Linked DNA regions of Mytilus edulis. The main gene of each other region encodes a partner of the protein of the gene in region 2 in a complex. Links are inferred from orthologs where the notes say so. Each region holds a gene or a part of one and is shown on either strand. Other genes may lie near its edges.

The links. The genes of interacting proteins can lie anywhere in the genome.
Region 1: the proteins of CCR4-NOT transcription complex subunit 2-like (region 2) and CCR4-NOT transcription complex subunit 1-like are in contact, whole or in part, in a crystal structure (PDB 5FU7), measured with the Homo sapiens proteins. The link is inferred for Mytilus edulis from reciprocal best matches to the Homo sapiens genes CNOT2 and CNOT1. Residues at the interface, in NP_001186231.1 of Homo sapiens: Met350, Val351, Asp353, Gln354, Phe355, Gly356, Met357, Ile358, Gly359, Leu360, Leu361, Phe363, Ile364, Arg365, Gly372, Met373, Val374, Leu376, Ala377, Leu378, Gly379, Ser380, Asp381, Leu382, Leu385, Leu387, Asn388, Leu389, Ser391, Glu393; in NP_057368.3 of Homo sapiens: His1864, Ser1865, Ala1866, Ala1867, Arg1870, Asp1871, Gln1917, Pro1921, Ala1923, Pro1925, Ala2003, Tyr2036, Leu2039, Glu2040, Ser2043, Arg2045, Ile2048, Ala2049, Ala2053, His2054, Leu2079, Leu2084, Lys2086, Gln2089, Ile2090, Leu2091, Tyr2092, Lys2093, Gly2094, Leu2096.
Region 3: CCR4-NOT transcription complex subunit 2-like (region 2) and CCR4-NOT transcription complex subunit 11-like share a complex: the UniProt entries of both Homo sapiens proteins name them as parts of the CCR4-NOT complex. The link is inferred for Mytilus edulis from reciprocal best matches to the Homo sapiens genes CNOT2 and CNOT11.

The regions. Positions count from the first base shown.
Region 1 is NC_092348.1:63,139,844-63,148,127, forward strand, and holds the start of CCR4-NOT transcription complex subunit 1-like, read right to left. Parts: upstream 3,109-8,284; 5' UTR 2,750-3,108; coding exon 2,648-2,749; intron 1-2,647.
Region 2 is NC_092353.1:84,019,152-84,026,842, reverse strand, and holds the start of CCR4-NOT transcription complex subunit 2-like, read right to left. Parts: upstream 3,075-7,691; 5' UTR 2,919-3,074; intron 2,316-2,918; 5' UTR 2,300-2,315; coding exon 2,253-2,299; intron 1,796-2,252; coding exon 1,766-1,795; intron 1-1,765. UniProt on the Homo sapiens protein: Component of the CCR4-NOT complex which is one of the major cellular mRNA deadenylases and is linked to various cellular processes including bulk mRNA degradation, miRNA-mediated repression, translational repression during translational initiation and general transcription regulation.
Region 3 is NC_092350.1:62,779,122-62,787,182, forward strand, and holds the start of CCR4-NOT transcription complex subunit 11-like, read left to right. Parts: upstream 1-4,953; 5' UTR 4,954-5,063; coding exon 5,064-5,101; intron 5,102-8,061. Other genes in the region: resistance to inhibitors of cholinesterase protein 3-like, read right to left, coding at 901-992, 4,640-4,826. UniProt on the Homo sapiens protein: Component of the CCR4-NOT complex which is one of the major cellular mRNA deadenylases and is linked to various cellular processes including bulk mRNA degradation, miRNA-mediated repression, translational repression during translational initiation and general transcription regulation.

The DNA of each region.
Region 1 (8,284 bases), on a different chromosome or scaffold from region 2:
TCTCGCATTGAAATCAATTAAACAAGGGGATATAGGGTAGCTAGAACCCAGTCGTCACGCTGAGTGGCAGCCCAGGCTTGTATCTACAGGCCAACAGAATCTAACTAAAAAATTTCAAAAATTGAGCGCTGGGCCTGTAGATTTAGCAGTTCATCGTGAAGACTGTGGAACCAGGTAATGATTTTTTGGCCTTACTAAGCTAACTGTATGTATTTTACTTTACATAAAAGCTAGTTATTACAACAATAGTGATTTTCAAACAAATAACCAGGATACCAATTTTGCTTTGAAACTAACCTTACAATTTTTATAAAAGTAATCATAAATATTCAGCAATTACTAATTCATCATATAATCATAAAAAAAATTAATTCATTAAAAAAAAAAAATAGTTCACGAATTTGTATTTATCGTTTATGAAAATAAATAAGACTGAAATCATGAATACCAGTGACAAACTACATGTCATTCATTTAATTGAAAAGGAGAGGAAAACGACAATGTAGGTCAATAATATGAACATTTTTCACCAAAATACATACATTGTATGTATTAATATGCATGTTGATGTTTTTCTGAATTTCTGAATTTTATTACAATGTAAAAGGTGTAATGTAAAACAAAATGTTTTCACTATAAGTTTTCTAGATTATTGGGTATAATTATATTAAAAAAATATAACAGAAATTAGGACAATCAACATTAATCATCAGTATTAAATTATCAATTTCTTTCAATTGACTGTGATCTTAACAAGTCTTTAATCCTGTGTAATAATAAATAGTTACATACACAACGGTTCAAGCCGATCCCCAAGCTGATACGTACAAACTTTGTTTTTGTTTGAAGTTCTTAAAATTCCTCACACTTGCCTGTTGTCATCCTTTATTGATACTTTTTACAAAATCCATTTATACTAATTAAAAGTCTGTAGTTTATTCCTCATCATTTATTATGGGGCCAGATCGACGAGGGGCAGGAACGAAGTAGGGCCGGATCGGTTTGGGGCCGGAAGGACTGGATACCATTTGGAAGTCGATTAATATGAGGAGCAGACGTCAATCTGAGTCTAACATACATGTATATATATTCATGATATTGATATTATCACCGAAACAATACAAGAAAATTAATTCAACCTAATTTTGAATAAATATAGGATGTGATCATGTTAAGTGCATATGTGTTATGGAGCAACTGATTCCACATGATCACAGCAGAATCCGGGTCCGTCCGCCCTGATTTCGGTTCGCCCTAGTTACTGTTCGCCCTAGTTCCGTTTCGCCCTGAGACCGTTCGCCCTGATACCTGTTCGCCCTGATTTTTATTTTTTATTATAGTGTTGTGTGTTGAAGTCTCTACAATTTCGCCGAATATTAACGAACTATTGAGAACTAAGTTAGTATCTGTATGTAATTACGTTACTAGGAAATCACTATCACACATCCTTTTTCTTTACACAGAGACATATATACTTTACTCTGCTTTACATTTCCACACATGATTTGATCAATAAAAATGATACATTAGGAGCACTAAAGTTATACATAAGAAAGTGTTCAAAGTTCAAAGTGTTAATTGATCTAAAATTCTTTACTGCAGCGGCTGAACGTTGTCTAGTGCAGGGGCGGATCCAGCCATTTTAAAAGGGGGGGGGGTTCCTAACCCAGGACAAAGGGGGGGTTCCAATTACACGTCCCCATTCAAATGCATTGATTGTCCAAAAAAAGGGGGGGTTCCAACCCCTGGAACCCCCCATCTAGATCCGCGCCTGGTCAAGTGGGTTGTCGGACGGTACAGTTTGGCAATAATTTGTAAAAATTTTATTTGGGAAAAATGCTATTTTCATTATTAATCCATCAAAGACAATTCATATAACAATCAGTGATATCAAAGATTTCAAATTATCAGCAATCAAAATTCAATCAACAGTAATTATAAAATAAAGTGTAACAATGCAGCCAAAAATTTTATTTCATTAATATTCTGTATTTAACTTTTAATAGATATACATAAATTTTAATATATATATAAATATATATTTCTTTCATTAATGTAACGTATACATTGTCCATTATCACTGTACTATTATGCATATTTTAGGGGCCAGCTGAAGGACACCTACGGGTGCGGGAATTCTCGCTACATTGAAGACCCATTGGTTGCCTTCGGCTGTTGTTTGCTCTATGGTCGGGTGGTTGTCGCTTTGACATATTCACCATTTCCTTTCTCAATTTTACATATCATAAATGAAAATTGGGCGAACGAACCCAGGGCGAACGGATTACCAGGGCGAACAAACTCAGTGCGAACGAACCTAGGGCGAACATGTATTAGGGCAAACGATCCCGATACCATCACAGCACTGGACCTCTTTCAAACTCATAATCAAAGTTCAGACAGTCAAACTAAAAGGCTGCATAAATTTATCATGGGGCAATGCCTTCAATACAAACAAATGACATGGTTTATTTCAAAGTGATAACAACATCATATATCAGCTGATTTTACCAGTACACCATGTGCACATATTGGTCAAGATCACACGAGCTGAAATTATCTCCCTTGATAACGATACTCTTGACAAAATCTCTGGTTATAAACAGTATATAAGCGATATTGGAATTAATCTTATGATTATACGTACATGACTTATTTCTGTTATACTCGATTTAAAATTTTTCTTTGTCAAGTTGGCCACTGAATAACTTATTTCAGCCAAGGCAAAAGATAATGAGTCAAGATTCATATTATTCCATTAAACTGAAAACGAAAGCCCCAAATCAGTTTGAAGCTCTCCTAGTCCACTATATACACTCTCTGCACAATAATTATAAAGTAAATTAGTCATATGGGGCCTCTGTTGGCCTGGCATCTGGAAATTTCTACGGTTTTACATTGTCATTTTCAACACCGACATGGCGTCACAGCAGCCATGTTAAATCCGTGCCGAAACTTCCCGACTTTAAACGAAGCATTGGATCATGTGACACGTACTAAAAATGCGTTATTGGTAAAAATATTTTGATCAAACAAATATCTAGTTTCCTTCAGTTAGTTTAAATGGTTAACGGTAAAACAATCTGTCATTCTAAAATCACAACATTTAAAGTTATTTCACAAGTTAGAAAATTTACACGCCGAAAGTTTTCAGCTTTCAGTTCGTGAAAAAAGTTTCCGCCGGAAATAGGGCTCTTCACGGTTAGTTCGGCCATATTGGATAGGGGGCAGATTTTTTGGAAGGAGGTGGAAATGGTATGAAAGTGTGGGAAATCCTATGTGTGTTTCCAAGCAACAGCTCTGTTTTAATGATGTTTTCCCGTATTTTTCACACCATTTTTACCTCTATTATGAAAATCTGCCCCCTATCCAATATGGCCGAACTAACCGTGAAGAGCCCTATTTGTGCATGATGTGCATCGCTCAATATCGATGTCTTCATGATTCTTTTGGAATATATTTTTAATCAACTATTATTTGAGCATTTTGATGAGAACGTAGTGAAATTGGTTTTGTTAAAGTGTTTTCCGTGGTCTGTCTCTTTGTTTTCTTATGCAGACCTGAGACTACTATAACACATGTTATAGTAGTCTCAGTGCAGACGCACGACAGTCTAAACTTTTAACGGATCAATATTTTTTCAATGTTTTTTAATAATTGTTTCAGAAATGAGGAGGAACGTAACGTGACGGTATATACCCAAATTGCACCTAGATGTCCGCTGCTATTTTTGCTAAATAGGCGCAATTTGGGTACTCGGTGCAATTTGGGTACCGTACGTTAGTCACGGTAGTATTGATTGTAAACATACACGTGTAAACATACCACCATGAAAATTGTTCACGTACTGTACATGTCTGAGTCAAGATCAACAATTTAAGATTGGAATCATGGAGGGGGGACTAGGCGACCCGGCCCGCCGCCTGAGGACTTTTGCCGTTTGTAAATTTGAGTTTTAATTATTACTTTCGGCATTAGATTTTTGACAGCCACTAAATTCCCTCCTCATCAGACGAACTGGCCTTTCGGACTTTTTTGGGGGTATCCCGGATCAACATTTGAACAAACATGATTATATTGTACAAGCTGATCATGACTACCTATATTGAACTAGTTTCCATTAATAGATGCTCCTGAAATAATAGTAGGGGAGAATTGGGTAAGTGGACACATTAAGCGTGCACATATGTTTCAGCTACAGATGATATGTTATCAAAACTTTCTCATAACTTTTTACTTAATAACTTAATTCAGAACAAGTGTCGGCTTTATACAATTGAACTTGCTGATCATGCAGATAACCAACTTTCAGTGGTACATTCAGACGTGGTGTAATTACTCTTCAACGGGTTTTAGAGGTGAGTCCGGCGAAATAAAATCCATTAACTACGCTTTAGTCTTCGATAGGATCTTCAGCATGTTTAACCAGTCGATGTACAGAGTTTTACCAGAGAAAATTCATCAATACACAGTCAGATCTAGTTAAGCTATAACATGATTCGATATTTGGGCTTTTGATTTTGCCATTTGATTACGGACTTTCCGTTTTGAATTGTATTCAGAGTTCAGTATTTTTGTTATTTCAATATTCTTTTAAATAAACAAAGTCTGACCTACATTGAGAAAAAAAATGATTGTGTCAAAACATAAAAAATCTATATCGTCAATAACATTAAATTCGTCTTATGGGAACTACTTCTGTGTTCTGTCTCTGAGGTATCTGTAGATAGATTATTGCGAGGCAAAATGTCTGCCTCTATTTAACATAGCTTCATGTTCCTAAGTGGGAGGCCACATTTTGCATACCATGCATATTGTATTGAGTAGTTATCGACTTGAATAAGCAGAAATATTTGCCACTGGGAGCCATAGGTACTTTAGGACAGGATATTTTTTTCTTAACCCTCCCCCTATATAATAAATCAGTGAGCACTAGCTGTGGATAGTAAACTTGGAATTGATAGTAAATAGCAAATACACTTTATTTCTAGTGTTTAAATGGTCACATAATACATATAAAAAAAACGACAAAAGAATTGAAATGAATAGAAAACAAGAAAGTAGCGGATTTCGGAAAAAGGGATAGGGCACACAAATAGAAGAGGGACGAAAGATACCAAAGGGACAGTCAAACTCATAAATCTAAAACAAACTGACACAACGCCATGGCTAAAAATGAAAGAGACAAACAGAAAAACAATAGTACACATGACACAACATAGAAAACTAAAGAATAAACAACACGAACCCCACCAAAAACTAGGGGTGATCTCAGGTGCTCCGGAAGGGTAAGCAGATCCTGCTCCACATGTGACACCCGTCGTGTTGCTTATCATGCGGTGATTACAAATCCGGTAAATAGTCTAATTCGGTAGGTCACATTCATGAAAGGGAAGGGGATTGTAGTTACGACGTAAGGAACATATCCGATATCATTTGTGAAACGGTTATTCCATAACGGTCAACCAACTCGTGATGGCGTCCGTAAAATTTACGAAGGGATGATTTCAACTTTACCATTTGGAACTCTTGGTTTAATAGCTTCCTTGTGAGCAGTAACCCTCTATCAAGAAAATCATGATAGGAAATGCAAGCACGGGAATATCGTATCAATTGGGAGATATATACCCCGTATGCAGGTGCTGCTGGAATGTTGCTACTTAGAAATGGAAAGTTCACAATTGGAAAGCTGAAATCATCTCTTTTGTCGTAAAGTTTTGTTTTCAACCGACCCTCATTGTCAATTTCTAGATGTAAGTCAAGATATGAAGCCGACTTAACTAGTAAATAGCTTATGATACATGTACTTATAATAAAGTTCTACATGTTAATCTGTTAATCAGATTGACTAACAGGGTAAAACCTTAAGGAACTATAATCCTACAACTAAATGAGTGTTAAATTGTCTTTATCATGTTCTGGGAATATTTTCCAACAATTTGACTTATTTCCATAAAACCAAATTGCCATTCAGATCCATGTTTTGAATACAAAATTGCATAGTTTACATTTTCTCTCTCGAGTAAAGGACGTCGCTTACCAAATTGTATCAATGTGTCACGGATCAGATAGACAATAAACACTTAACTTAAAACAAAGTTTTGGATTAAGTTAACGACTTCCTTCTTATACATTTTTGGTCTAACTAAATCTGTACAAATTTCGCTATTTGGTTAACTGCTGTTTATTATTATTATTAGATGATATGTAAAATAAGCAATTTCATTCTTAAAATCTGAAATTACACCTATTGGACTGGTACCTATTGGGTGACTGTTATATATGGTGAATTTAATTTAAGATTGATAGACATTTTTGGAAAATGATCCATGTGTGCATGTTGTGTGAGAAAAATTAAGGGCAAAGTTCATTGTTCTAGTTTAATTTCCCTCGGTTAAAAAAAAACTTTTCATTTTATAAAAAAAACAAAAAGTTAATTCTGTCTTTTGAATTTCAACATGTAATGTTCATAAATTTTACGGACGCCATCACGAGTTAGTTGACCCAGTGGTCTCGTTAGCCCAAAATAGAAGGGCGCCGCGCCCTGGGTGCCCTTAGCCGCGCCCTGTGTGCCCTCAGCCGCGCCCTTCTGCCCTGACGCTGTTTTTCGAAAAACCCTTGTGCCGTTTTGGTAAAATTGCCTTTTGTTTCAATCGATTTCTTATCAGAAGTTCAATTACATATCTGACACCTGGTGATTGCCCCCAGGTAACGAGGTTAATCATGTCATTACAATCAATTATAGTGGATAAGACTTCAAAGGTGTTAATTACTAGGTAATTTAATTTTAAGACAATGTACCTTTGTCATAAATATGATGAATGTGTCGGCATTTTCTTTTCGATCCTCAAGTCACCATGGAAGAGTGTATGAATGAAGACTTTCGTGAATTTAGAATTGAATTGAAGTTATCAAAATAAAACTATGCCTTTACAGAAACATCGCTCATCTCAACTTGTGAGCGACAAGCAGACGTAAACATGGAAATTAATTTTGGAGTTATTTCCCCTGAAAAAGCTTATTACAAAATTGTGCTCCTAAAATATTATCTAGCACTAAAAATAGGAAAAAATAACCAATTGAATACAAAATTATATAAGAATGTTACCTTAAGGATATTAACTGTCTTTGAACATACAAAAAAAAATATATTGCAATTTATTTTTGATAATCATACTTTTGGCAATCCATGTTTTATACATTGTCAAAATAGAAATTTAAAAACAAGTTTTAAAGTTCTGAACAGGTGTCCAAGCTATGTACTTTCTAACCTGAAAGTGTGCAGTTTAACTCTAATCACAAATCAACTTGATGAAGCTACACTAAATAATATATTTCTGAACATGAACAATGAAAACAGGTGTTGAGGGTCAAGCTCTAGATCAAAATTTTAAAGTACTCTGTCATGTACATGTATGGTCAACTATGAGATGTTTAGTTTATGATCTTTCTTTTGGAAGGAGAGGGGGTGGGGGAGAAAAGTAAGTTTATTTTGCCTCTTTTGGTTAATAGTATGAATGTGTATTGCCATGTTTTATGAACATGTAGTATGAATGACTTTTCTTATGCAAATTTTATAGAATAAATAATCAAAACAACTTATGCATCTTTATTAACAATATATACAGAAAAAAAAATATGTGAAATCGTGATACACGCAGGGACGTAGACAAAAAAAATGAGCAGTGCCTTCTCCTATCATAAAAAAGTGCCCTGCCCTCCACTGGCACCCTGCCCCTTTTGAATTCTAGCTAGAGCACTGGTTATAGAATAACCGTTTCACAAATGATATCGGATATGTTCCTTACGTCGTAACTACAATACCCTCCCCTTTCATGAATATGACCTACCGAATTAGACTATTTACCGGATTTGTTATTACATAAGCAACACGACGGGTGCCACATGTGAAGCAGGATCTGCTTACCCTTTCAGAGCACCTGAGATCACCCCTAGTTTTTGGTGGGGTTCGTGTTGTTTATTCTTTAGTTTTCTATGTTGTGTCATGTGTACTATTGTTTGTCTGTTTGTCCTTTTCATTTTTAGCCATGGCGTTGTCAGTTTATTTTCGATTTATGAGTTTGACTGTCCCTCTGGTATCTTTCGTCCCTCTTTTACACTGTATCGTTTGACGATTTTTAGTGGTCCAAATTTTTGAAAGAACTGCGCTCTCTGGTTACATTTTCTAAACTGATTTGTGTCTACATTCATAGGTATGATCTGTATTCAGATTGACAAAATATACCATTTCAATTTTCCCATTGTGCCGTTTTTCATCTTTTAA
Region 2 (7,691 bases):
TTCATCAAAAACTACCTTGACTAAAAACATTAACCTGAAGCAGGACATACGAATGGACGGACGGAGAGACAGACGCACAGACCAGAAGACATAATGCCCCTCTACTATCGTAGGTAGGGCATAAAAAATCATTAATATTTTAAATGCAGTACATGTAATTATATCATGTATATGTATATATATTTTTATAGCGTTAAAATGTTTTCCTGAAAACATGGAAAAGTTAAACAGACATCAAATTTTCCAAAATCACCAACTGTTGAACAACATTGCTTGGGTTTCATTGCCATTAAAATCATGCAAGAACATTAAAAAACAATATAAAGTAGCTATGCAGAGGACAAATATTTACATACAGTGGGTCGCTTGACTTCAAAAATGAGCAAAAACCTATAACTTATACAGTAAAAGACAACAGCGTAACAATTGTGTTCAAGGATCACACCTAAAGTTGTCAGGATAATTCATTTAGAATTATTTTCCATGTATTCTTGCAGGTGTTGCTCTTGAGGAAATGACTCAGATTTACTACTCTATTATAAATTTGTGCAGGGTACAAAAAAGTGTAGTACATTGGAATATTTCACTGTGAATCACTCCCAATCATCAGCATCCAGGGATAAATCACTAGCATACACTTATGTGGTCATTTTTGTGTAATCTCCTCAAGCATACTGTAGCACAAATAAAGTTATTAGGCCACAATTAAAAATATTTTGGTTTGACCAAACCCTACCCAAAGGTTGAGACAGTGAGTAGGTAGGTAGGCATTTTCTTTTTCTTTTTTTTCAAGTATGTGGTGTTTATTAGTCTTCATGCCTTTCTGATAAAAAAAAACCTTCTTCAAATCAGGACAATAAAAGAATTTGGGTAGGCAGCTTTTTTCTGGGTAGGTAGGGTTTGGGCAAACAAACCTATTCTTTTTTATGGCCTTATGTGATATAAGGCCAAAACATTAACAAACTTTATCAACATGATTTTGTAAATACAAATAACATTAATGTTTGTGTACTGAAATGGAAGGATCATATTGCCAAAGATCCATGTACAATCATGACAACAATCCCTAACAAATCCTGTAAGTCAAAATCCTTAGAAGTAAACCATGGAACCCTGTTTCTTGTCTGTTGTCAGTGATAAAGTGTAGTGTTGAGTGTCCATTCATAAGTCAAATACATAAAAATGAAACAGATTAAAAAAAATCATGGTACTACAACACTGGAATGACTGGATCTGTACAAATCATCAGTCCAGGTCTCCTGAAATACTGTGAATATTTGACACCGTTTTTGAAGCTGTTGTCACATGCAGACAGCAAAAGGAATTATGTGAATTAGAAATAGATCCCTTAAGTCAAGATCACTGTATTGTTTTCAAAAAAGGATGTGAGCACTCATATGAAAAGCTGTCAATCATCAAGGGAAAATTAAAAAAATCATGAAATATTTCAGCAACCATCCAACCAATAATATTTTATGATAAAATAAAAAGGTTTGCTTTGATGGTTGATTTTATGGTTTAGGAGGCTGGACTATTCACAGAAATGTTGATAATGATTTACCAAAGCTGCAAATGTTCTGGAAATAAGCGTAGGGAAGACATAAACAAAACAACAAATTAACATAAGAAAACTTAGTTAAAAATACTGTGAATTTACAAGCATTCATACATGTAAATATAAACATCAATATGTGTATTAAAACAAATGTGGCTTTCTTTTAATATTTGATTTCCACAGTATTTATTAACTAAGTGTAATACTTACTGTGTATTCCAGGTTTCCACTAAGAATTTTCTGAATTAACAAAGTATTATTTTTCATACATATTGATCTAGATATCACCAACTTCAAAACAGCACTATTTTTTCAAAAAATGCATTATCAAATTAAAATGCTCAAAAAAATATTGAAGACTATTTTTTTCTTTTTTCTAATATAACATTACACCTAGCATCAGACATACATCTACATAAATATGTATTACATATGTAAAATGTAAATTGCAGTACATATAAATGATATTTTTTTGGAAACACATCATGCCCATAGGAATGTTTAAACAATTAGCATCTGAAACTACATTTGTACAATTTAATAACTTTATGTTCTACACCCAGAAATCAATAGAAATTTATCAAAAATTCAATTACCTAGAAGTTGGTGTCATAAAATATAAACCCTCCATGATGATTGTGATTACACAATGTTTAAAAATAGAAAGAAGAATTTTATGTTTCTAAAAATAACTTACTGTCCCATTCCTAAACTGTTGTCCATATTGTTATTTCTAAATGCCATAATATGTTACAACTTCCTGAAAAGTGATAAAAACATTTACATTGTTTTTGTCATACTTAAATAAAAAGTAACATTTAAAACAGCTGCATTTGTTTGCACCTGTCCTAAGTCAATTACCTGTTGTTTAATGATTGCTGATGTGGTTCATCAGTGTTTCTCGTTTTCGTATACATTGTACATGTATTAGACCTGTTGTTTTTTCGATACATGTACCTTTATATAATTTTTGTTTAATAAAGGTAGAGAAAATGAACCCATGGCGAACAGACTATTTGCAGGATGGTACTCAGGGCGAATAGACCTAGTACATTCCACAGGAAGTGGATAAGTGATATATAGCTAACATTAATTTATATGTAGTCATCATGTACTGTACTAAGTTATTTTCTTCTGTTTCTAATTAACTTACTCATTACTATACTGTTGTTTCATTTGTGTGTTGTTCACCCTATATTTTCTACAACGAATGCTGTATGATAACGCGTATTAAGTCGAAATGCATTACAGTATATTTAATAATTTTAAAGGAGAGTATCGGAGTATGTTCGAAATGACAAGGCCAGTCCCATCATTTGTCATTTGAGACTGTATTTTTGTATTTGCATATGTTAAATCTTACCTATTAAACACAATTATCATAGGAAATCATCGCATCATCAAGATTGTTTAATTTATTTTGTGCTACTGCAGCGAAAAGACGAATTATTGGCGAGTTAGAAAAAGAAAGAGGTTTGCTTTAAACAGGAAGTTTATTAACAGCGCCATCTGGAAGCAAGATCTGAAATTATCACCAAAAACCAACAAAAATATATACAACGTCCCATAATTAATATTCATTTAAGTAACAGGACAGAGCCAATACCACTGGGGTAAAGCTGATGACCGTAACTGCATTCACGGTCATCCCAAGATGTCGGATGAAAAATTAGGTCAGTTTCTGTATTGTCTGTTAAAGTGTTTCTATATCATTTTCTTTACAAATCATACATTGAAACGATGTAAATTTATAAAAGAATCACTCGAAAATCACTAATTACTTCCGAGAAATGTGCATGAAACGGGAAATTCGAATTGAAAAAATCGTTAAGATGACCGTAAATCATAATCAAAATATTTTCAAGATGACCGTAACATAACACAAGGATGACCGTGATTGGTAAAAAGATGACCGTAACTTGTAAAGGATGACCGTAATTTGTAAAGACTGACTGTAATTTATATAGGACGACCGTAACTTTTATAGGATGACCATCAATTCTAAGAAGTATTGTATTCAAAGCTTTTTTGTTGAGTTTGTCGATCTCAATAGGGGCTCGGTTAGCGGATATAAATATGTTTCATAAATTTCTTTTTTTAAACTATAATATAATTGGCCATATTTAGGATTTATAACAATGGTAGTAAATTGCATATTTCTCGTAAACAATGAAATATTTATTGATATCGACGTTAAAATTTTAACACAAATTTACAGCGATACGACGAAAATTTGAAGAAACATGAATGTGTCCCTAGTACACGGATGCCTCATCTACACTATCATTTTCTATGTTTAGTGGACTATGAAAATGGGATAAAACTGTAATTTCGCATTAGAATTAAAAAGATCATTCCATAGGCAAAATGTGTACTAAGTTTCAATTTTATTTAACTTGAAGCTGGACAAACGGACAAACAAACAGACGAACGGACGAACGTACGCACAGACCAGAAAAACATAATGCCAATAAATGGAGCATTAAAAACATTAATAATACATACGAATATTTGGTAATCGAGCCCATGTGTATGGGTCCAGAGGAAGCAGATTAAAATCTTAATTTGTCTTGATATATGCAGGCGGAAACACTTTTGAAATAGAACAAAAGAATCGAAGCTCTGTGTTTATCGAGAAAGCGATAAAAAGTTAACTGTAATGTTTGATATAGTAGCAAAATTTTAAAAAGTTAATAGAAACAAATAAAACGACAATTTTCTTATTTTAAAAACACCATTTGCATAAGTTTTCAATGTATCTATTACATAGTAATGCAAAACAATAAGATATCAAGTCGACGACATGGTTCTTATCGGGGCCTTTTATAGCTGACTATGCGGTATGGGCTTTGGTCATTGTTGAAGTCCTTACGGTTACCTAAAGTTGTTAATGTTTGTGTCATTTTGGTCTTTTCTGGATAGCTGTCTCATTGGCAATAATACCACATCTTCTTTTTTATATATAGTATCTATAAGTTGGATGTAGAAAATGCATAACCTCCGAATTTTTTTTTATCACGGACGGAGAACATATCAATCTTTTAGTTCAGAAATTTTCGTGTCTGCCCTTCCATTATGTGAATCAAGAAAAAATTCCCCAAAACAGGTAACGATTGTATCGAAAAGAGAAAAATCGAGTGCACCTTTTTATGTAAGGGCATGTTTGGGGTGTATATTTTGTCTTTAAAACGTACAAAGCAAGAGTATTTTATATATGTAGCATCTCGCTTCAGATTCTATCATTATTATATATCAAAGCTACAGGTTGACTTTATAACGTAAAAAAATGACAGTACGAAAAGATGAAATATATGGGTCAATTGAGATACCTATCTAATGAATCACAAAAACAGAGTAGCGTAGTTCAAATAGCTATTTTTTCTAAAAGTACTTGACGACAGTCTTTTAATTTGGATGATGAAAATGTGTGTGTGATAACTAGGGTTTATAATCTTCAACCACTGAAAATGTTTAGTCTGCCCTTCCACGAAATATTTAATTAGAATTTTTTTAAATGCTTAAGAATTTTCAAAAATTCCATCTGACATGCAAACAGACAATATTTTTAAGTTGAATCAATGCAGACAAGATCATTAACTAATGCTCATTAGCTAGTAGATACATTTGTATTTTAAAATATAACTGACATATAATTAACGATCGATCGTAATGGTGCTATGTGGATAAATTTATCAGTTTTCAAGAGCAAAATTGGCAGAGCGTCATCCCTACAATGGCTTCCATTTCTACGACTGTGAGCATGAACTGGCTTAATGGGGAGATAATTTTGAAGAAGTAGAATCCTGACTGTATGAATAACATTTCTGTATATATACAAATTGACAACGTTCCGCCTTGTGATACGCTTTTCGTACAATACTATTTTAAGGATCTACTTTGCTGGAGCTCACCTTCACTAGTTTATTCGAATGATATTTTCAAAATATTTCTGTTATTTTATTTGCACGACAAAATGAAAGACGACATAATATCAATGGGTGTAGTACTACATGCAATGTTTTGGCATTTTTTTAAAATTTGTATTTATTATATGTCATTAAAAGGAATCCCAGAAACAAAAAAAATCTTTTGTCGAGCAGTTGAAGGCTGTGCAACGCATGTCTTTTGGCAAATTCATTTTAAAAATTGAACCCTCTACTGTAAAAAAGATACATATGGTAATCTTTGCATTTGTAGCACGTCTTATTTTCTTCTACCTATAGGATAAAACTTTCATATCATTATGTGTATACCAACACGATTAATCATTTGATACAAAAAGATAGTTATATAAATACGGATATTTCTTAGAATTGAGGGTCATCCTTTAAAAGTTACGGTCATCATTTACAAATTACGGTCATCTTAAAAGCAGTTACGGTCAGCCTTGTTATGAATCGCTGATTCTGTTACGGTCATCTCGATTGTGATTTACGGTCATCTTGGCGATTTTTTCAAATCGAATTTCCCGTTTCATGCACATTTCTCAGAAGTAATAAGGGATTTCCGAGTGATTCTTTTATAAATTAACATCGTTCCAATGTATGATCTGTAAAGAAAATGATATAGAAACACTTTAACAGACAATACAGAAACTGACCTAATTTTTCATCCGACATCTTGGGATGACCGTGAATGCAGTTACGGTCATCAGCTTTACCCCAGTGAATACGTTTTTGAAAGTATTCGAGGTGGACTGTGTCTGTGTATCAGTCAGTGGCGGATCTAGAGGGGGTGTCCTGGGTTGGACCCCCTTTTTTGGACGATCAGTGCATTTCAATTGGGACATACAGTTCTGGGTTGGGAACACCCCTTTTATAAATGACTGGATCCACCCCTGATCAGTATATTCACTGCACATTAAAGGGGCACTAGCTACGAGATGCATACAAATTTAAAGTATGATTTGTTTTTGTTCAATCAATAATAAAAGTGAAATAGTGAAATGATAATTCGCTTTTAGCAGCCAAAATGGTTCAATTTTGTCAAATTAAGCTAAATAATATTGATAATGACTGATTCACTTGCAAGTGAATTAGTCGACCTCATTAAATCCGTACTCATGTGAACTTCAATTTAACCCCTTATCAGTAACCCGAATAATCCAGTCGTTATATTACGATCACTTCGAGGACAATGACCGTAAGGGGGTGCTGTAATTATTCGAGTTACCGGGCCTTATCAGAGGTTTCCCGATTTGCTACCGTGCCAACCGTAGAACGAAGTGGGAGCCGTCATTTAACTTTTGGAAATTATTGATGTATACACTTAATATCAACGAATGTTTTAGGAATCATATGCAGAACTGTTTTGAGAATTTTTAGCTGTAATTTGGGACTAATTTCATGTGGTTACTTCTTAATTGTATTCATAGGAAACAATATTGTGTGCACTCGATTATGCTTTCAAGCAACCGTTGCAAGTAACCGTTGGTGCGAAAGCTTTATAGTTAAGAGTTATATTTCATATGTCGAAATATTTATCATCACGATGTTATTTCATCTTGTTCGTTTATTATTATTATGTCACTAGATATTGTTATTACATTAATATTGGTAAATATTGTCGCGAGTTAATTTGTGTATTGCACGTGCATGCGAGTAGTATAATATAATCTACGAGGGGTAATGTTAACCAATATCGATCCATTAATCCTTTTGTCGTACAGCAATGCTAGAAAAACTTCTTACAACACAGCGTATTTTGTTTACTGATAACGGCAATAATTTGACGCTATATTTACACGTAGTCTAATGCAATATGAATATGTCTTTCTAACTCTTCGTAATGTTCTACGAAAAATACTATGTTGCTATATAATGTCTTTTGCACCATTTACAACTGATTTATGGACTCAAAATTAAGGACAATTTTTATTGGTAAATGTTTCAATGTAATTTGTTCAGGTTTACATGTACTAGTATCATGAATACGATATTACTTAAAATAATAACTCCAGTTTTTCTACCACATATTTCAAAAAATGGTTTTCTTAGTGTCATAAAATTTATATTCATTCTTTAAGTAATATAATCAACAATTTTATTAAAAAGTTCAGTGACAAAATATAAGGAAAAAGATAGATCGATATTTTTACAATGTGTATTGCGTTTTAAGAAAAAATGTTGCTCCAATG
Region 3 (8,061 bases), on a different chromosome or scaffold from region 2:
TGGCCATTCCAATGATTGACATTAGATTAAAAACTTTACTTTGATATGAATTTGATGTTCGGATGTAAACTGTTAAATTGGCAGTGCATCATTCAAAGTGTGCATATCAGCGTGCTCATATCTGCCTAAGACTCTTTATTTGTGCAAAATGACATTGACATTGTCTAGAACTTTACTTTCGTTTTTAAAATCACATTTTTCTCAAACCGGATGTTGACGTGACAATGGTAAAACATGGACCATAAACGGATACGTAAAATCTGTGTACGTTTACAAAGCTTGACTGAGTGAAGAAGCTCTTTCCAGATAATCTTACGTCTCTCTTTCATAATTTTTTTTTTACAATAGATTCTTTTACTGTATAAAGTGTGATACGATTTTTCTCAGCTTTCCATTAAAAAAGGTCATGTTTAATTTTGAGGAATTACAATTATAAATTATGTGGGGTTTACGGTTTACATGATGATTTTTTAAAAGCTTTTTTGTATTCACATTCACACTTTTGGTTGTCAGTATAAAAGAAAGTTTGCACATTTTTTAATTATAAAGGTTTGGACTATGACTTCTGTTGTAAATCTATTGTTAGTATATCATGTTTATATCATGTGATTGTGTTGTGTAAATATAGTTTAATGTTATGAAGACATATGCTGTGTTCAAATATGATACCAAGCCATTCCTTATGACATGTATAAGTTGAACTAATACAAATTTATGTAATAAAAGTCATTTAACTTGTTATTTTCATTCCACTGCGATTAATTGTTGGTTGTTGAATGTCTGGTGGCAAATATTTCATTCATGTTTAGGTTGAATATAGCCATGCTAGTTCATTGTACGTACACTGCAGTTATAAAAATTGTAAATTTTATTTATGTCAAAACAATTTAAAACACTTACACGCATGTGTCTTTTGATATCATCATGGTGTGGATCTGGTGATCCATGCATGTTTCCATGGCCATGAGGAGAGGGTCTATTGGGTGGATGAGCTAAAAAAATAAACAGAAAAAAATGTAATGAAATGCAAAACAAAATTACAAAAAAGTCATTTCTTTTTACATTTTTTTTTAAAATAATCATCATCAGCAGTCAGGGGTACTACTTGTACAAGTTATTTTTAATTACTTGAAGAAGTAATATTAATATACTTATATAAGTAAATTTGTAGGCTACTTATACAAGTGAATCTTTGTTGAATTAATGAGATGAAACAATGAACTCTAATTAAAAAATATGAGCTAACCTAGGAAAAATCATTAAAGCCCTGATTTTACATCTCAAAACTTAAGAATATTTGTAGGATTGTAAGAAAAATTTACTTTACAAGTAAATTTTTTAGAAAATTAAAGGGAGATTATTTAAACATTATTAATTTATATATGTGTATATTTTTATGCCCCACCTACGATAGTAGAGGGACATTATGTTTTCTGGTCTGTGCGTCCGTTCGTCCGTTCGTCCGTCCGTCCGTCTGTTCGTCCGTCTGTCCCACTTCAGGTTAAAGTTTTTGGTCAAGGTAGTTTTTGATGAAGTTGAAGTCCAATCGACTTCAAACTTAGTACACATGTTCCCTATGATATGATCTTTCTAATTTTAAAGCCAAATTAGAGTTTTTACCCCAATTTCACGGTCCACTGAACATGGAAAATGATAGTGCGAGTGGGGCATTCGTGTACTGAGGACACATTCTTGTTTTTTACTTCTTCAAGTAAATTAAAATAACTTATATAAATGACTGATCAGGTATGGTTATGTGTTCATCATTATAAACATGTACATGTTATATTGATAATTTAGTAAGTGTAAATGTGTTGTATCCGTGTTGAAGACTACTTTGACCTTTAATGGTTTACTTTATACAAATTGTGACTTGTCCTATTGTGGAATTGGCACTCATCATACTCATACCACATCTTCTTGTATCTATTTGCAGTAAAACAAATATGGATGTTTACCAAAGCTCTGAATTCTTGATAACATATATTTATCATGTAATACATGTAGGATAACTATATCATATGTTCCAGACTGTATGAGTATTTAGACTGTACACGTACGGTCTGGACAGTATGCGTACTTTTTTAAAATACGCAATATTGTCGGACTGTACGGTCTGGCTAACATTAAGAAGTTGGTCAAGTTTATTAGATACAAATGTAAATAATAGATCAACAAATCTTATATCTCAAATTACTGTAATATAAAAAGTTCAATTGATATTTAAATGAAAACTTAATATTTTAACTTTTTTAAAAAGGTCACGCTAGTTTAATCTGTTAATCTCCTGTAATTAGCATGTCAGTAATACATTATTTAAAGGCCAGTATGCTCATTGAAATTGAAGGTAATGGATGTAAACAAAACGTAGGAGAATTGTTTTAGAATATTTGGAAACTTTAAAAAAAAAAAAAAAGAATGCATATGCAAAAGAGCATGCATGAACTGCAAACATGTAAATGTAAAATAACAAAAACAACATTCCTTGTGGTAGTAAGTCATGTAAGTGTCAACTTGAGCGAGAGTACAAAAATAGGATTCAGATATAGAATTAAACAAACATTTAATTTCAATTGTACGCTTATTCACTATATCCATCTAATGTAAAAATAAAATCTTGTAGAACTGAAACTACAAATTTTTGGTAATTGTTTTTTTTTTTAATTTAACCCATATGATACCAAAACATGTATGGTCAGCTGGACCGTACGAGTATACTCATATGGTCCGACCGTACGCTTACGGTTCAAATACTTGTATGGTCTATAACACATACATTTTTAGCTAGCTATAGGAATAATTGGATAATAGTCCTTTGCCGTCAGTTATGGTATGATGAAGGATTGCCCATTTTTTTGTAACACTAGTCCAAACAATTATGAAATTTTGAAAGGCTATTATATTTTTTTCTTTTTCTTTGATGCCTTACATTGATAACAAGGCATCAAGGAAAAAATTTAAAATAGCTTTCCTAGACATCATAATTATTTGGAATAGCGTGACACATGAAAGTCTAAACTCACATGAAATCAGGAAAAAAAATCAGACAGGACATGTTTAATTACAGGTTGGATAGAGGATTCTTACAAAACAATAAACAAGTCTGTGATCAGGATGCCTCCCACTCAACCCCCTACACCTTATTGCTACATTGTTTTCCCGACTTGAAATCTGTACCGCTTGGATTTTTGACATCATACAACAATCACTTTAGCATTGTGGCGTCAGATATTTTGTGTTGTGACATCAAAATTTTACAGGAACCTGTTTGATGTTCAGTAAAGGCGGACAAATTATCATTGTGTGATGTGTTTTTGTACTAATACCAATTTTCACTGCTAACGGTTTTCACTGTTGAGTTTTTATTCAGGTGTATACTCAAATTTAAAAAGCATGTCTTGTAGATTGATTTTAGGTATCTATTTTTTTTGTCTAGGCTTACTATCAGTCAGAGATATACAACTCTATAGGGTTATTACAGAAAATAACTTGCGTGTGTTATTACAGATACTTTCATGAGTTGTCTACTCTTTATTTCTTAAATTTTCTAAATCTGTAATAACATATGTTTGTTATTTGTAAAATATTTTAATTTATAATGGGTTCTAGGGAACTCTTGAGACTTTGCGCAGAAACTAAATGCATAGCCTTGATAACTAATTTGTTAATTAAATTAATACATTTTTGATTTACCATGATAAATCAATGAGACGAGGCTTTTAAGAGATAAACTTAGCTGTAATAACAAGGCTCAGTTATTAAAGTAATGTAACTTATTTTATGAGACACTTGGGAATTACTGGGAAGCTTGCGCAGAACCTCATTACATGCTCTGGTCATTATTTCTTACAATAAATTAAAATACATTGTAATTAAGCATGATGTATGTTTGAGCAAATGCTTTGGAGTGATATAGAGAAACTGTAATAACAACCTTTAATTATTATAGGCATATTTTTTCTGTAATAACATAGGTGTACTATGCAAAATTGGCAAACTATGAACTGTTATATCTTTCTATAGTTAAGTATACATAAGGACAATAGTAATACCAATAGAACTTGTATACATTTTAACTAAACTAATGATGTATATTGTCCCTTTGAAACATGTAACATACATATGTTATCACAGTTCTTTGATTTTTTAGTCCACAATAACAAATGTCTGTTATTTTTCTGTAATAACCCTATAGAGTTATATTCCTGACTGTACTATGGTTTTTTACTGTTTCCGATTACTTTGCGATTTTTGTATGTCAAAAAACAGCGTCATATGTTTTCATATACTCATGAACGTCTTTAAAAAGCGACGTTGAATATGTTTTAAATTCTTCAAGTTGTCATGGTTGTAGAGGTGTTGTTGTTCTAAATATAGAAACCGAAAAACATGCCACAATGTACGATCATGACGATTATGCAGTCGAAACCAACGAAATGTGGTTGATACGAAAACATATGACATACGAAAACATATGACACGAGGATATATGAAATAGCGATAAGATGTACCAGACCCCTTATGGCCCTTGGGTACCAGAAATGAGTTGAAGGGTGCATTTTCTGATTTATTGATTGCATGTAAGAAAGGTTGGCATGTATGTTGTAAAATGCTTGTTTTCAAATCTTTTAAGACTCACTTGGCTCAGTCTTTTGTTTTTGAGTAGGCACTCCTAACATTCTCATTACAATAGGATGGAAAAACTTAGGATACAGTGCCGTAAAACATGCTACAATGACGACAACAGTAACAATAAGTCTGACAGAAGACAGTCCTGTAGCAGACTGGTGTGTATGCCCAACTTTAGTGCTTGCAACCTTTTCCATTTCTGACAGCAGAAAGGCCAACGAGAAAAGTAAACAAAACGAAATCTCGTTTGAAGATCACGTGATCGATCAATATTAAGCTAATTTGATACGTGGACCTATCCTTTATGTAGTGGAATCAATCAAATATAATTTATTGAATTGATTTAAACAAATATGTACAAAATTTCCGTATTGTAATAACTTAGGATTATGTTTGTCGATATGAAATAACGTAATCTCACGTTACAAAATAAAATGGCGCTCTCCTTGAAAGAGCTTGCATCTTTGCTCAGGTACTAAGTTACTTTATCTGATACTAGAAATACAAAAAAATAAAAAGAACCTGTTAAAAATTACAAACACTATGGTACAACTACTTTACGATGCACGTAACCTCTTATTGATAACTGATAAATATGAAATTATAAAATTTGTGTGGGTAAATTACTAAGGGAGATAATTCTGTTGAGCAAATTCAATGAATGGTATTTGTCTAAATCATTCATTGTCATTAGCTGATTATGTCGACAATTTGTATTGCCACTTTTTTAAAAAATTTTTTAGCAGTTGACACATAATTATTTACAGCCCCATTTTAGTTACTAAGTTAGTCCGAGATTACTCTGACGTCCTACAGCTGTTTTGCCAGACAAGCTGGGGCCGTGGGACGTCAGAGCTCGTCCCATATCAAAAAGTGGATATTTGCCCACCCAAAATAGATGCGCTGCTTCGTCGCTTCTGGTGCCGACTGACGGCCTTGGAATTTTATAAATCGGGCAGCAATCTGTTCATTTTTCATTGCGTACAATGGGAGGCAACTCTCATTGTACATAATTGATGACGCCTTGTAAGAATTGCTTCCCTTTGATGTTTCATCCGGGTTCGTATTGCCATGTGGTTTTGGGCGGAAGAGCATGTTCCAGGCCACTTTTATTATGTAATTGATATAAAACATTTTTTTTTTGACATCCGATGGAGAACAATAGAACAAGAAAACCTCCAGCGTACTTAAAAGACTTTATTCTATCATCTTTTGAAATGCAGAAGGATTTCGATTCAGTTACAGAAGCTGGAGATATAATTAATTCTGAAAACGTGGTTCATCGTCAGACATCAACACCGAAATCAGACGAAGCATGTGCTGGCGTTCGTCCAAAATTACCTTCATCTACGAACATTGTGAGTGAACTTGATAAGACAATTCAAGAATTAACAATACAAAACAAAATTTTGGAACGTGATTTGTTGGCGAAACAACACGAGCTCCTTGTAGCCAAGAAAACATCCGGTGGTGAATCTTCAAGAACCAAAGCGAAGGACAATGGTAAAAAAGTTAAAACATTAAAGCTTCCATCGCTTAATGAGTTACGGAATCAAGATAAAGTTGGAAAACAGGATAAAGAGCTTACTCGACAGCTGCTTAATCAATCTTCGTCCTCTTCCGATGATTCTGATTCTGATTCTTCAAATGATAACGACGAGGATAAGGACAAAGCTCAAATCAAAGGTAATGATTTACCATATGTTATATTCAAAGATAAACAAAAAAGAACAGCAGTTTCCGGTGAAGCAAGAGCTGCTAAGGATAGAGTTAAATATGATGTGCCATGGCCACACGAGCATGCACAAACCAAATCGGTCAATTATTCTGATAAAGATTTCGGTCTAGCACAACTAGTCAGAGGTGAAACATTCATTATGCATAACATTGAAAAACAAGCCATTTCTGTGCACAGACAAAAACATCTCATTAATTTGCTTTATCTCGTTGAAAAATACCCCTTTGCGGAGATAAAGGATTTTCACGCCGAAGTTTTGCGTTCCATAGAAAGAGGTCACAAAAATTGGTCGCATGCATTTGTTGAAGAACAAGGCCGTACTCTCGTCACCCCCCTCACTTCGTCTTCGTCTACCCCGACTAAAGCATTTTTCAAGGATAAGCCGGTTAATCGCAATCCAATTTGCGGCGCATATCAAGCGGGAAACTGTAGTCGATCCGGAGATCATTTTGGAGCCTATGGAGACAAAAAACTATTGCATGTTTGCAGAAAGTGCGTCCGTAAAGGAAAAGATTCGAGTGATGCGTCTGTGCTACATCCTTCGAAGGATTGTCCGCATCATCAATGATGTTCAACTTCAGTGCTACATTGTGAATCTACTAAAATGATCAGTAATAGTATTATTCAAAAGAAATTATATTCCCCTGTAATTACAGGTGTGTTACTGTGTGATAATTACGAAAATGATGTTGTGAAACCTCCTGCAATTATGTCAGGTGCGATTGCTTCCCCTGATTATTCAGGTGTGTATGATGAGTTAACGAAATCTTATTCCCCTGCAAATATAGGTGTGTTGTTTGATAATTCACAAGATTCCTTAGGAATATCCTCTGCATATGAGGCAGATGTTTTGAGTAATATTTATGATGTTTCGTCATGTGAATCTATAGGCGAGTCAAGTTCCGTAGGTTTTAATTTAACAGGCGTTGGTTATTGTGACAATGCTTGTAGTGAAAAAACGTCCCCTGTGTTTACAGGTGTGTCTATTTATGAAAATGATTCATATTTATTGCAATCTTTATTATGTAGAACTGATTTTGACACTGTTGTCAAAGATAACAATTACATGAATTACAATGTTGTTGATGAAACTAATAATGTACTTTTAGCTTCAAGTATTTGTCCTTGGTTTACGAAAACAGCAGGGTCTATTGATTTTGAGTATTCACCAGATATGAGTGGAAATGTTTTGAAAGATGTATCAACCAAATTTTGTGAAATGAATATAAATAATTTTTCAAGTGTTCATGAAGCCGTGTTCTACAGTGGCAAGCCGAATTTTGCATATTGTAAAATTCCAGTACGTTCTAATTTCAACATACAATTGTGGGAACAACTTTTAGAAGATTATCATGATAAAATAGTCGTTGAATTTTTGAAGTATGGATGGCCGTTAAACTATATCAAAGATACACTGCCCGATCCCCCCACACGTCGACAAAATCATCTTAATCAGTTTTCAAGTTTTATTGATTCATATATTTCAAAAGAATCAGACCTTGGGGCTATTTATGGTCCTTTCCGAAAGAACCCTCTCTGTTGTCATTTAACATTATCACCATTATTCACAGTTCCTAAGGGAGATTCCGATAGGAGAGTAATTGTTGACTGTTCGCATGGCAATAATTTGTCCATAAATGAAGGCATACCTTCGGACACCTTTTTGAATGAAACTTTTAAACTTTATTATCCTA